Linked DNA regions of Rhinolophus ferrumequinum. The protein of the gene in region 1 purifies or fractionates together with the protein of each later gene. This does not show direct contact. Links are inferred from orthologs where the notes say so. Each region holds a gene or a part of one and is shown on either strand. Other genes may lie near its edges.

What was found.
Region 2: the proteins of PPP2R2D (region 1) and IER5 purify together in Homo sapiens (affinity purification with mass spectrometry; 3 studies listed by BioGRID and IntAct, counting the BioPlex papers as one, with this or other methods). This does not show direct contact. The link is inferred for Rhinolophus ferrumequinum from reciprocal best matches to the Homo sapiens genes PPP2R2D and IER5.

What each region holds. Positions count from the first base shown.
Region 1 is NC_046299.1:1,054,376-1,061,562, forward strand, and holds the start of PPP2R2D (serine/threonine-protein phosphatase 2A 55 kDa regulatory subunit B delta isoform), read right to left. Parts: upstream 2,887-7,187; coding exon 2,880-2,886; coding exon of another isoform or gene 2,797-2,879; coding exon 2,704-2,796; coding exon of another isoform or gene 2,572-2,703; intron 489-2,571; coding exon of another isoform or gene 446-488; intron 1-445. Other genes in the region: transcription initiation factor TFIID subunit 4, read left to right, coding at 446-488, 2,572-3,553. UniProt on the Homo sapiens protein: Substrate-recognition subunit of protein phosphatase 2A (PP2A) that plays a key role in cell cycle by controlling mitosis entry and exit. Involved in chromosome clustering during late mitosis by mediating dephosphorylation of MKI67.
Region 2 is NC_046305.1:13,388,729-13,396,254, reverse strand, and holds IER5 (immediate early response gene 5 protein), read right to left. Parts: upstream 2,684-7,526; 5' UTR 2,456-2,683; coding exon 1,484-2,455; 3' UTR 506-1,483; downstream 1-505. UniProt on the Homo sapiens protein: Plays a role as a transcription factor. Mediates positive transcriptional regulation of several chaperone genes during the heat shock response in a HSF1-dependent manner. Mediates negative transcriptional regulation of CDC25B expression.

The DNA.
Region 1 (7,187 bases):
CTGAGGTTGTGTGAGGATGGGACCGACAGACAAGGTAGCTGGGAGCAGCTCTGGAACATAACACTCAACACTGTGAGCTGTCACCACCTCTGGGCTGGGACCTCCACAAGGGGCGGGGGGTTGAGGGACCCGCCTTCAAGCCTGAGGTGCTCACACTGTTGAAGACAGACAAGCGAGGGTTATAGTATCGTGTGGCGTCTGCTAACAACATTCACCCAGGGCACTGCCCAAGGAAAGGGAGCGGGCTGGGTAATGGTGACATCACACGTGAAAAATCTGCACATTTAACAACTTCCAAAAAGTGATCACCGTTCAGAGCACAGGTTTTTGGAGGCACCACCTACCAAACAACTTCTCACTTCCACTGGAAGCGTCCCTGGGTGTTACGATTCTCACTCGCTCCCCTAGGCAAAAAAGCTCACCTAATGCACCTTCGGGGCCACCTATGGCCATAGCCAGCTTGCTGTATGGGAAGGAGAGTGAGGCATGTGAGCAGTGACTGTTACTCATGCATCGTGTCATCAGGACAATCACTCATTTCCTTCTGAGCCCAGCTCTGCACCTACTCGCAGGGAGATGGGAAAGCCCTGATGGTACCATGGCTGGTCTGACCCACGAGCAAAACCCTGTTCTTAAGAAGAAGAGAAACGGGCATCAAAGTTTACACAATACAACACTTTCTTCAGGAGTTGGGATTCAAGTGTCCCAACATGATTAGCTTTAAAAACCAAAGGAAATCAAAAACCTCCCTCCATTGTGCCCTCTCCTCATCCTTCAAAGTCAGGGGAGCCCACACCTCCTGAGACTCACTAGGTGCTGTCCTTACGTCACTGGAGGACCCCAGCTGATCATCTCAGCACTTTCTGATCACCCAAGGCAGGGTAAGCACACGGTCCAAGCTTACGGTGGGACTCCTCATGTAGAGCTCAGACCAGAACAAAACCTTCAAGAACACAATGCCTGACAAGCCTCCAATCTTAGCAAATAAACTTCCGGTCCAAACTTCCCTGAAATTACCCATCTCCTGTCATCGCTTCCCAACATTTCTTCATCAGGGTGTCTGGGCACAACCAGCTTCTTGACCATCTTCACTCTCGTTGCGTAACAATCACTAGCTGCTAACAATGACGTTTTCCTTTATCATCGACTTCTATTGGAACAACGCGATTCAAACGAACACAATTTGACAGAACAACATGACAAAGGATGAAGAGTTATAAATGTGTTACTCTGATGGATTACAGAGGCCAGATCATACATGGATTAAGACACAAGCCTCTGAGTACACACAACAATCAAAAACATGGGGGCTGTCACCACAAAACAAATCTCACAAAAAGATAACCTGAAATACCAAGCTTTTAGATGTATTCAAAATTCTACTAAAACTGCAAAAAAAATTCCTATCAGTTTTAATTCAGAGGACAAAACAGTTGTCAAGATTTTTTAAAGGACAGCCTATTTTCAAAGTGCAACACCCCACTTAAAATATGTCATTTTAGTTGCATTTAAATTTTAATTTATTCGGCTTGTAACTTCTTTAAAAAAAAGGGAAAGAAACCAGAAATTAAGGTAGACCTCAAGCCCTCTCCCCTCTCTACCCCTAAACAAACAGGTTTTGCTACTCTTGATAGAAATTTTGTGTAAACTGAACTGTCATTCACTTGGCATATATAAAATGAAAATATAAATAACTACATAAATAACTATAGAAGGAGCAGGATCAAATTACTCAGAGTATATAAAATCACCTAGTTTCACTCTCAAACATGCGTCGTCACAAATTTCTTGGAGCGCCCAGTTTACTTGCTTTACTAATGGGGCGCTGTCCTCGGGGCCAAGAATCTCCAGAAGTCACACTGCGGGTGAGCGTGAGCGGTGAAGGGCAAGGATGCAGAAGGTCATGGGAGGGGCCAAGGAGGAGGAAAGGGGACACGACACAGAGGGACCCGAGGCTGTCCGTTACTTGGGGGCAAAAAAGGTGCATTTGGTGTAAAGACAATGAATTTTATAAGAAGGTTACGGGTTCACAATGTTCGGGAAGATGGTTGAGCAACGAGAAGTCACGATGTGGCCGGAAGTAAACTTCTGGGTTTCTAAGAATCAGGGCTACCCGCGACCGTGTGTGCGGGAAAGAAGTGCGCTGCTTTACTTTAGGACAGGCAGCTTCCTGCCCACCACCCTAAATCCCGTGTACCTTGGCTCGTTTAGGGGCACGATTAAGGAAAGAACAACCGACTTCAAGTAACAGCGTAAGGTTCAAGAGTAAAACCTGCAGGAGGAACTTGAAAGAATTGATAATAAAATCCCAATCCTCTTTTTCAAGTCGAGGGAACCGAGGCCAATCAGCTTGCCCAAGACCCACAGGTGACTAGAGCGCCTGGGTGGGGACCTGAGGCCTCCCCGCTGCAGTTATCCCGATTTTGTTTCTCGAGGCCCGTTTCTGCAGCGATTTCCACAGTTCTGCCACACGCAGGAGGCAGCCACCTGCAGCGGAAAAGACCCAGAACCCAGCACCCCGTCCGAAAACCCCAGCTCCCAGCAGGCTCTGTGACCTTGGGCTCCTTCCAGACAGAGCCCGCGCTGGGCAGGCCCGCGGTCTCGGACCCGGACCCGGGCAGTTCCCCGGAGCGGCCACGAGACCAGGGTCCCCGAGGGCCGCGGGCGGGTGCGGGCAGGGGGCGCGGACGCGCGCGGCCTTACCTTCGGCCACGTCCTCGTCGATGGCCCCCTTGACCTGCGAGAAGCACCACTGCAAGTCATTGGCGCCCGCGGGGCAGCCGCCGCCTCCGGCTCCTGTGGACACACCCGGCGCGTCAGGCCGCGCGGACCCGCCCGTCCCCCTCCTCCGCCCCCGCCCCGCCCCGCGCGGACCCCACCTGCCATGGCCGGCCGCAGGCTGGCGGGCGCCGAGTCGGCGGCGGACGAAGGAGGCTGCCGCCGCGCAGCTGCCGCGCGAGCACCTTAACCCGGCTGCCGCCGCCAGCGCCGGGGAGGGATTTTTTTTCCCCTTTTCAAAATGGCGCCCAATGCCCGTCGCCCTGCTCAATGACGTCATTCCCCTCCGCCTCCGGGCGGGGAGCTCCCCTGCGCTGGGCTGGGTGGGGCGCGCGGCCGCGGGGTCTGCCGGGGGCTGCCGGGAGGCGCCAGTGCGTCTGCGCGGGCCGCCCCGGGCTTTGTCCCAGGCCCGGAACGTGGCGCGGCGGGGTGGCCAGGGTACGTCGCGGCCAGCGGGCGGCTGTGGGCCCGGGGCTGGCGCGCCTCTGAAGACCAGCGGCAGGACCACCGCTATTCGCCCGTCCACCTCGGGGGTCATGGGAGGGCTCGAGGCGGCCCCGCCCGCAGCTAGTGGAGCGCGGCCAATAGGAGCGCGGTCCTTCGACGGAGCAGCCAATGGAGAGCACGCTCTGAGGGGCCGCACCTGGAGCGCGCCGCGTCCGAGCGCGTCGGAGCGCGTCCTCGCACCTGGCGGGGCTGCAAAGCTCTCTCTTCGGTCCCAGTGTGAGCTCCGGGAAGTCTGTGTTCGACTTGGATGGCAGCCAGGAGAGACCAGGTGAGCGAGGAGGGAGGGCGGGCAGATGGGGACGAGGTCCAGGGGCGGAGCCCCGCAGGAGGCTGAAGAGGAGCCACCTGTGAGGTGGGCGCCTGGAGACGCGGGAGCGGGTGGAGCCCGTGAAGCCGGGAGGGGGTGGTCCGCTCTTAACCGCTGCGTGCGGAGCGCCGAGAGGGCCCACTGGTTGTCGCGAGCGGGGTGCCATTTCTGACCCGGAGGAGAGCAGTCCCGGAGTGGACGGTGCAAACCTGCGCTGAGAGCGTTTTAGAGAAAGTGACAGGACAGTTAGAGGCAGTGAGTCACGGCAACCCTTTGTTGTGAGGACGAGCAGAGAAATGGGCCGTAATCTTTTTTTTTTCTTGTTGATTTAGCCGGTCTGCTCCTGAGCTGTTGAAAACGTGAGTCAGACTCTCTTATATGCAATGGCTTTCATGTGTGTTTAAGATAAGTCTTTTGAAGATAATTAGTTTTAGTTTAGACTGTATTCTTTGGTTAATTAGCTACGATTAAATTAAAATTTAAAAACAAAAGTAGCACAAAAGTACCGTGTTTCCCTGAAAATAAGACCTAGCCGGACAATCAGCTTTAATGCGTCTTTTGGAGCAAAAATTAATATAAGACCAGGTCTTATATAAGATTATATACATTATATTATACTATATTACATAAGCCCGGGTCTTATATTAAAATAAGACCGGGTCTTATATTAATTTTTGCTCCAAAAGACGCATTAGAACTAATGGTCCGGATAGGTGTTATTTTGGGAGAAACATGGTAATATATGCCTGAAGACAGTGAGCTGCCTTCCTTTGTATCTTAAAACATACGCTGTTGTTCTTCCCTGAATAACTTAAAAAAATTTTTTTCTTTGATTTATTTAGATTTTGGTAACTAAATACCATTTAAAATACTAAATGTGGATTGTTTCCAAGTTCAGATTTAGTAGCTAGCTCTGAGTTATCACAGATGTACCCTCTTGATAAGGAGTGCCATCTTCCACTCGAACTAAACACACCAGATTTTAGGAAGTTGTTCATATGAGGGGAATCCTGGTCCGCCTTCCTATGGGTTACTCGCCTTGGCCTGGCCGACCCAAGGGAGCAGCCACAGGAAGCCCCAGTGTGTGTCCCACGGGCCATTCATTGGGCCATTCATCCTCATCGTGCGACGCCAGGTGCTGCACACACAGCTGTGTCATAGAGTGCAGTGGCTGCAATTGTGTCTTGGACAATTTTTTTTTTTTTGTAAATTTAAGATTTATTATTATTATTTTTTAGAGCAGCTTTAGATTTACAATAAAATTGAGAAGAAGGTACAGAGATTTCCCACACAGCCCTGCAAAGCCTCCTCCCTTATCAACATCACTCATCAGAATGGTACATATTTTACCAGGGATGAACCCACATGGACATGCCATAATTACCCAAAGTCCATAGTTTATGTTGAGGTTCACTCCTGGTGGTGCACATTCTATGGGTTTGCACAAATGTACACTGACACGTATCCATCATGATAGTGTCACACAGTATTTTCACGGCTTAAAAGGACTTTGTGCTGTGCCACGTCATCCCTGCCTCTCCCCAACCCTGGCAACCACCCATCTTATTATTTCCATGGTTTTACCTTTTCCAGAATGTCTTATAGTTGGCTTTTTTTCATTTGGTCATGGGCATTTAAGATTCCTCTGTATCTTTCCATGTCTTCATAAATAATTTCTTTTTATCACTGAATAATATTCCATTGTCTGTGAAGGTGAGCAGAGTTGGCCACCCCAAAATTTGCCACTTTGGGATGTTGATTATTTGAGGCTGGTTAGTTTTAAGAAACAGCAGACGTGGGAGAAGCTTTGAGAAGCAAGAAGTTCTGCTGAAGGGCATTCATTTGTGAGGGCAGTGTCCATCTGTCCGGCATCTCCATCACTGTGCCCAGCCTGCCTTCACCATCGATGGAGAAGGCGGGGACGCAAGTCTGCACGACAGCCTGACTCTTGTTTCTTGTGCTTTTCCTGACAGCCTGCCATAGCTGACTCTCCACCCCAGCATCTTCTGTCTGTAGCCGAAGGTGGTATTTAAGGTGATGGTTTCTGCCATTTTGGTGACTTACTCAGTGTTCCTGGGTCTCTCCCATGTGTACAGGAGGCAGACATGTTATTAAACGTTAGTTTGTTTCTCTCTGCTAATCTGTCTCGTGTTGATTTGATCATTCGTCCAGCCAGAAGAACCTTGAGGGTACAGGATAATTTTTCCTCCCCAACATCTGGATGCAGCACAGTTTGTTTATGCCTCACCTACTGAAGGACGTCTGGATTCCTTCCGAGTTCTGGTGATTGTGAATGAAGCTTTTCATAACCTGCTGCCGCCTTACTGCTGGAGTTCAACAAGGCATTGAACTTCATTCCATTTTTTCTCTTTGTTCCTGCCAAGAAGGGTTGGCTCCTTGAATTTTTCTTCAGATGATGAAGAAAGGGAAGGAAGGAAGGAAAAAAGAAAGGACTACGTTACATGACATGACTTGACAAAAGGGACTTGGCTGATGTAATTAAGATGACAGACTTTAACTGTGGGGAGATTAGCCGGGATTATCTGTGTGCCCAGCCTAATCTCATGAGCTTTCAGAAAAGCCTAGCACTTTCTCCAGCTGGACTAGAGAGATGCAGAGTGTGTGGGGGGCTTAGCCTGCTGTTGCCGGACAGACCACACGGAAAGCATGAGAAGGGATGCGGCAGCCTTTGGCAGCAAAGACTGTCCTTGGCTGAGCCAGCAAGAAAATGGGGCCTCAGTCCTGAGCGAACTGCAAGGAACTGAATTCAGGCACCAGCCTGGAAGGGCTTGGAAGTAGACTGGTTCCGGGAGCCTCCAGACAGGTGCACAGCCCACCGAGAGGTGCCATTTTCAGCCTGGACAGAGCCAGCGGAGCCCACCTCCGACCTCCAGGGCTGTGAGATGACAGATGTGTGTGGTCCCGAGCCATTAGCTGTGGTAATGTTGAGGGCAGCAAAAGAAAATGGATACAGTGTGTCTGGTGTGAAATAAACAGACTCGTGTCCACTCATTCGTCCAGCTGTTCTTTGCTGTGTGTGAGTCTAGGCACTTAAATCACTCTGATTCACAGTGACATGGCGATGTGGCAGCCGTGTACGAACAGCTGAGTGCCAGCTGCGCCTGTATTTAGGCAGAGGGGCACCTCCTGAGGACTGGCGGGCACAGCTCGAGGGGACATCTGTGCTCTCAGTGTCACGCGTGCTCTCCAAGAGTCTGGACTCCCCAAGCATGCTCCATGATCCTGGTTAATGCTCACGGAGCCCTACACCTTCACGCTGACATCCCATTTTAGGCGAGGAAACTGAGGCTGAGAATAACTCGCCCAAGGCTTCGCAGTCACGCAGACTTACAGCCCATTTAAGCTCAGTTGTAACCTCAAGGCCCAGGTATTAGGAAACAACGGGCAAGGACACCCCCGCGTCCTCCCTGGCATGGCTAAGCCGTGGGGAGAACCCCAGCACTTGCTCTGCCTGAACTATACCTGCCTTGCCAGAAATACACCGTCATCCATGGCCCGTGAGCTGAACCGCTCGTGCCCCTCCCAGGACTGGTCTGCGTGGGGTGGGAGGACGCCTGTGCCAGGCCTCCAGCTG
Region 2 (7,526 bases), on another chromosome or scaffold:
CAGAGGTGGACCTGATCAGCTGGGCGAGTCAGTCTCCTCAGTTTCCCTCCTGTCAGTTTCTTTTCAATAACAAAGCTGAAAGAGGACCCAAGTAATACAGTTTAGCAGGAGACAAAAAGTTTCAGTGAAAACCTTTTCCAGGATGGGAAGGGCTTCAAAAGTTGGCGCTTCAGCTATTTAATATTAAGTAAGACACCAACAGATTGAGCTGAGAAAAAAATCAAATTGGCCTAATATGACTTTAGAAAAGGCGGCTGGAAGTGGCAAGTTTCAAGAAACAGGCAGGCCACTGACATTAGTATCTGGTAGCAGTCCTCTGATCTGGGGGAGAAACCTTAAACGTGTCTCTCTGGATACTCACTAAAGTCAGCAAACAATGTCCGCAGTCTGTGCTTGACTGATATTAACAACCACACCTTCAATTTTCCAGCCTGGACCACAGTCTCCCTCCTCCCACCCCCCTCCCAACCCAGACTGGTGATGAACAGGCAAGGAGGCAGTGAAGTTGCTTCAAAATATTTAATACGTGTTAGACACGTAGAGTTACATTTTTATACAAAAATCAATACAACGAAGGAGAAAATACTGTACAAAAACCTTGTCAGCTCCCCCAACCTTTATACAACAAAGACTGGAGTCACCATATCTACAAAACCATAAGATCTTTCCACTTAAGGGTTCTGTCTGTAAACTTTGTTTCATTAAACATTTTTTAAAAGCACTGTGTAGTAGTTCTGAACTAGAGCTTTTAAAAATATATCTTTTCTCTATAAACTCCGTATTTCCAAGCTTGACCTCTTCTGAGAAGTTCGTCAAGCGTTTTTCCCTCTGGGGAAGACAAGGGCCGCTAAGATTCCCCTTTCCCAGAGTAATCACAGGGTATAAACGGTGCTTCAGTGAGAGAGAAAGGTGGGGAGGGAGAGAAATAATACAAGTCTCGACTGCAGGCTAAATCCCTCTAGTCTTAGGAAATCCTGCGAGGAAACGCCACTCCTGGCCCTGGTACCGTTCTAGCTTTCATGTGAGGGGTGTGTGTAAAGTCCCTTCCTGCCCCAAGAACGCGCGGGGAACTCCCCGGCCCTTTTCGCCGCTTCCTTCTTGGGGCTGCTGGCAGAGGAAAGTCCCTGTCTGCCCCCCGTCTCCTAAGCCCTGGCTGGGGAAGGGGTGATGCATTCCAGAAGGACAAAATAGTCTTAAATCACAAAACAAACTTACAACACAGACATACACAGACACACAAGTGAACGAGCGTCCTCTTCCGATAAGCCTCACATGCCCAAGTCTCAAGAAGGGCCCCGAGAGAGAGGCCGGCACAGCAGGGTGCCCAAGGCCACGGGCAGCGCGCACTGCCGGGCAGCTGCCACAGTCTCCCCAACACGCTCGGCGCCCACGGTCTCCGGGTCGTCCTCGCAGCTGGGAGAGGCCCAGCCCTCGCGTCGGTACGCCAGCTGCTCACTCGCCTGCCCGCACGGAGACCGAGGGCTCAGAAGGCCACGATGGCTGTGCTCCAGGGGTTCATGTCTCTCAGCACCGGCTTATCGCAGCAGATCTGCCCGGGCTCGGCGGCTTCCGGACCGTTCTCCTCTCCGTCGGCTTCCTCCCGGCCGCCCCCGGGGCTTTTCCGCAGGAGTCCCGAGAAGCTGGAACCGAAGATGCTAATAAGGTTAGCCACGTTCCCGGTCTCCATCTCCTCCTCCTCCTCGGCCGCCGCCCCGCTCGACGGCTCCTCCAAGTCCCGGCGGGGCTTCTTCAGCGGGGTCGAGCTGGGCGCGGGGCAGCCCGCCGGGCCACCGACGCCACCCGCCCCTGCCGCGCCGCGCTTCCTGGGGCCGATGGGGGGCGGCGCGGGGGCCTCTTCCTTCGCACAGCAGCAGTCACCGCGGGGGGTGGCGCCCAGCGCCCCCGGCTGGTCCTCCCCTCCTGGGGGGCGGCCGCAGTGGTGGCTCGCCGCCCGGGCCACCTCGGGGAAGACTTCCGAGGCTCCGGCGGGGTTCCCGGGTCCTCCGGCCGCTGCCTCTCGCGGTCCCTCCATGAGGCGCCAGGCAGGTCCCGCAGCCGCTTGTCCGCCCAGGACAGCGTCCCCGGCGTCGATCCCGGGAGCCGCGGGCTCCGCGTCAACCGCCCGCTGAGCGTCTGGGACGGCGGAGCGTTCCGGGTGCGGCTGGGTCTCCTGCCAGGCGGCCGGGACGGCCGGCGGTGCCGGCTCTCCCCATCCCGCGGCGGGGCCGGCCGCAGGCTCCCCGGGCAGCTGCGGCAGCGCCATCGGGGTCCCTGACGGACCGGCCAGGTAGAGGCCGGGGCACGGGTCGCTCAGGTAGACCTGGCGGGCGCTGCGCAACACCAGCGAAACCAGAAGGTTCTTGTGCAGCTTGATGCCGCCGCGCTGGACCCGCGAGTTGTAGATCTTGCCCAGGGAAATACTGACGATGCGGTGCGCCTCCAGCTTGAACTCCATCCTGCCTGGAGCCCCTTCACGGGCAGCACGGAGAGGAGGGTTGAGCCCCGGCTAGGGTCCAAAAACAGGGAGAGAAATTGGAGGAGTCAAGAAATCCTCCCCAAGACTCCAGAAAGAAACGATTCCTGTGACGCGCTTATTGACCTCCGCGTCCCCTCCACAACAGGTAACTACCCAGTTTCCTGTCCGGTCAGGTGCCTGGTCGCTAACTGAGGGCAGTCCCACTCCCCCGGCGCCTTATATATGCTCCTCGCCCGCCAATCGCGAAGGGCCGCCAACCGTTCCGGGGCGGGTCAACGCGCCCTCATGCTCTACACGCGGCCAATCGGAGACCGAGGAGGGGCGCCAGAGCCATTCGAACGTTAGTCCCGCGGAGCAGGCTCTTAAAGGGGACTACGCGTGTGGCGAGGGACTGGCGGGTTGTGCGGCGTCTGTGTTCCTAGGGCGGGTGATGGGGAGGAGGCATAGCCACCGTGTTGTTTGTAGGTAAAGAATCTGGTTTGTGCGCTGGTGTGCCAGAACCAAAGCGAGCTAAGCCATTCGAACTTTCATCCGAGTATGGTGGTGGACCTTGCTCTGCAATAAAGTCCGGATCTGTCCTGGTTCACCTCCCCCCACCCCCGCCCCCACACTTCCATTTTCAAGGCAGCACACACCTGTAAGCTCCTGGCCAACCCTGGCAGAAATGAAGATAACAGCATAATGCGGCAAGGGAAAGCCCCTGGACAACAATAGTATTACTATAAGAGATTTAGCAGATATTAATGTTGTATGAGTCCCTTGCCCCCTAGAGTCACATACACTCTTAGCAGCCATCAATTCTAACACGGAATGAAGAAAACGGGGGTTCGAAAAGTTTCTCAGTTTTGGTTGCTTATCAAGGAATTGTGTCTAGGTAAAAAGTTACTGGTGTTCCACTAAAGCCAGCATCTATTATTGTGTGTTCTCCAGATTTTAGAACAAACCGTTGTCACACAGGTTATGAGGAAAGGTGGGACAAGTTCTCCACAATGATTTTTCCTTCAACCCAAGGACTGACCAGCCACCCTTGAAAAAAAATCGAGCAAGTTCTAAAAATACAAATAGAGAAGTCCTGTGTTCTCATCATGATGTCATAATTTTATTTTGTGTCAAGGTAAAAATATAGGGGAAGAGTGTTCCAGAATTTTCTGGTCAGTCAACAACTTAGCCCTTCTACTGATCCTTAGTACATGGCATTTAGGGCAGAATCACCACAGGGTTGGCCAGGGTCCTAGACTGGGTTCCTGGAGAATCAGTTTCAGTTAGACCCACCTAAGCTCCACCACAGACCTGCCTGACAACTGAGTGAATAACCTCAGAACACCTTAGTTTCGCCAGCTCTAAAAGGGAGAAATCTCACACACACACACACACACACACACACACACACACACACACACACACACATCTGCTCTATTATGCAGAAGGGAAATGACAACTCAGCCACAATCTGAATCATAAAACGAAGTACAGCTTTCTCGGAGTCCAGGTGGAACTGTTGGCCTGACCAGAGTTTGGCCAAGTAGTCTACAGACACGCCACAGAACACAACTGATTTTACCACAGGCTAATTGATATAAACAAGAGTTAAGTTCCCACAGCATCTCATCAACCTTATAACGAAACAATTGAAGAAAATGACATTGGAGGATTTGCTATATTTAGTTAGAAGAAATACTAGTGAAAAGTGGGCTTGATGATGGCCAAGTCACAATCAGAGGCTCCAAAGGATGTGATGGCTCAGAAATATCACAACTTATTGAAGGTAACTGACACACCGGTCCATGAGACCCAGAGTTCCTTCCCTCCAGGAATTTGCAGCTCACATAAAGAAGGAGAGGAAATAATAACACAAATAATTACAAAAGCAAGCCTTGCAGTTTGAGGAATAACATGAGAGAAATGTTTCCATTTTCTCTTTCTTTGAGAGCTATTAGTTACTAAAAAACACTGAGTAAGAGTACAGGCTCGGAAGACAAGCTTCTTGAGTTGCAATCCCAGCTCCACATTTTACTTGCAGTGTGACCTCTGGAAAGTTATTTCACCTTTCTGTGCCTTGGTCTTTTTCATCTTAAAATAGAGATAATAATAGTGGCTACCTCTTAAGAGTTTTTGTGAGGCTAAAACAAGGTAACACATGCAAAGCTCTTAGAACAGCCTGGCATATAATAAGCTACCAATGTATTTCAGTTATCAGAACACATCACCCCCCAATACAACTTTGGGGTGGGAGAAGAGGCATGGGGTGGGAGGAGGAACGGAGATGGGAGAAAGAAGTTGCATTTGAGGAGGACACAGAAAAACTCTGAAGTAGGACCCACAAGTTCCAAGCAGCAGGAGCAACAGAGCCCCTGGTGGAGACCATCTCATTTGGCAGGTGTGCCAGACACCTACAGGAGGTGGAAAAGGATGGAAACTGAGGCTGGTGCTACATGATAATGGGTCGTGGATGCCTCAATAAGGAGATGGGGGCCACAGGAATCTACTAAAGGTTATTGAGTAAGGGAACCAAAGAATGGATTCTAGAACAGTACACTTAATTACAAAGAGAACCACTTAATCGTAAAGCACTTGTGGAAGTTTAGGCAAAGGGTCATGAAGGACTGAACTCGGTGGAGGTGGCAAGAATGAAAAAAACTGAGAGACAAAAGGAGCTTTAGTGATGACCCGGGATGCCTCCACCCACCTAAACAGGTCACTGATAAAGCCGTCCTGACCAATCTGGGCGGGGTGTATCACCATCCTGCACCGTGTGAAACATTCTCTTTCATCTCTGACCTCCTCACTTTCCGCTGTCATGCCCAGGGCCCCTCCCAAACTGTACTCTCAACAGAGGCAGGAGTCCATCTCATATTTGTAGCCAGGCAATAGTGAAAATACTTAACTGTGTTGCCACAGTTAACACAGTTAACACACAGGGCAACACAGGCACTAAGCATCAGAGCGGAGTCCTGGAGACGCTTAGAGGGCCAGGAGTTATGGGAGGCTCCTACAGGAGGGGCAAGATGGCCAGGACGTGGGGCACTCAAGGGGTCTGCCAACTGGCATGGAAGACTTTCAATGTTTTAACAACAGGGGTGGGTAGCCATAGCACTATATACTGAGTGATTATGCATTTGGATTTATGAATCACTAATAATGATATTGTCTGCCAGGCACTGCGCTAGCCACTTTACAGGCATTATTTATCATCTGTAGAAAGTTCTGAAAATATTACATATCATTATATCCATTTACAGATGAGGAAACTAGGATTTTAAAAGTTTAAGTAATTTTCCTAAAGTCATACAGCTGTAGGCAGAGAGGGTGGATTTCAACTGTGAACCTATTTAAAGCTTGAGGGAAGGGCTGTGAGGTGCCACTACCTTATTCTACCTCTTACTTGCTATATGACTTTTGGAAAGTGATTTCACATCTCGGTGAAATAAGAAAATCCAGTCTGAGTTTTGCAACATTTCTGTGCCTAGTCACCTATTGTGTAAAATGGGAATAATAAACATACGTACAGTCTCTAGCACCATACAAGCGCTTACTAAGTCTAGTTATGGTTATACCAGTGCCTAGCTCAGTACCAAGCACACAGTAGGTACACTCTTAGTCCCAGTTGAATTTTGAATGCGTTTTCTATTATACCACATACTAGGTGCTCTATAAATATCTGCTGACTTGAAATTGAGTGCGATCACAATTATTATCCTCTACTCCTGAGACAACAAAGTACAACCTGGAGAACTCATCTTTGGAGGGCCTAGGCTCTTAGGATCAGCAAGCTTCACCTCCGCCTACCAGAAAAAGTGGGAAGATACAGAACATAGTCTTCTAAGCTTTAGGAAGCAGGTAATTGAGAGAGTTTGCTGTCATCAATCTTTGAGATTTTCTCAGTTAAAAAGAAAAAAAAAACTGGTAGCACTATGAGAAACACGAAGGGTGTCCGAAGGACAGAGGAAGCAACTGCTCTGTGCTCTGGAAGAAGTGGCCAAGCATGTCCATTGGGTCTGGTCTGTCCGTCCATCCCCCATCTTCTCCACTGGGCACAAGGAGATGAACACGCGGAGCGTTGGCCACAGTTGTCCCCAATCAGGCACTATGGGTCTCCGGCCTGGGGATTCCTCTCAGGAAAGGGCTGTCTACCCACTGCTATTGACTTTGTCTTGTTTGCATGACTCGTTGAAGGCTCAGTATTATCAGATGGTTGCAGAGCTCCTATTGCCTTAAATTGGGTCTAGTCTATATAAGAACAATGCAAACCCACTATGGATTATGCAAACAATAGCTCCGTGAGAAGAAACGAGTGAAAAGGGGGTGGGTGAAATAAAAACATCTGCACTGTGCCTACCTCTCAATGTTAGAACATTTGGAAATTTTTTTTTTTAGTCAAAGTTGCTCATGTGAGTGAATGATTATTTGTATGACATCCTGAATTGTTTAGGGGGGAAAGCGCTATAAAAATACATTGTTAGCATTCTACGTAAGCAATATTCCTCGTGCTCCTCTGAGAACACACAAAATCCACTTTTTCATTCAACTTTTTCTCTCTCACAGTTCTGGCATATTTTACATCCTTTCTTTCCTCTTGACTGCTGAGCAACTTAACAATTGTCACCCCAATAAATTAAAAATAAATAAATAAAAATTAAAAAAAAAGATATGAAATGTTTACCATGCTAAAAAAAATAGAGTTTCTTTATCTTCAAATAGCATTTGACTAGGGGTGGGCACGGAAACCTCGCTTCTTTCCTCCTCCCCATTTCCTTTCCTAAACTATTATAGGCCCACCCTCCTTCTTGTCCTAAATGTTGTCTTGGTTCAGAAAGCCTTAGGTGGTTCTTATGATCATTTTTGTCATACTTTGCCTTTTTTAATACTGCGAAGGAAAACAAATTCCTCAATAAGCAGTACACTTGGATTCATTCACATGGACCTAGTACCCTCTCAAGCCACAAACTGAGAAAACATCACCATATAAAATCCCAGATCTGCACTGTTCAATGCAGTAGCCATTAGGCCCCTGTGGCTCGTGCACTTGAGGAATTGAATTTTAAATTTCCTT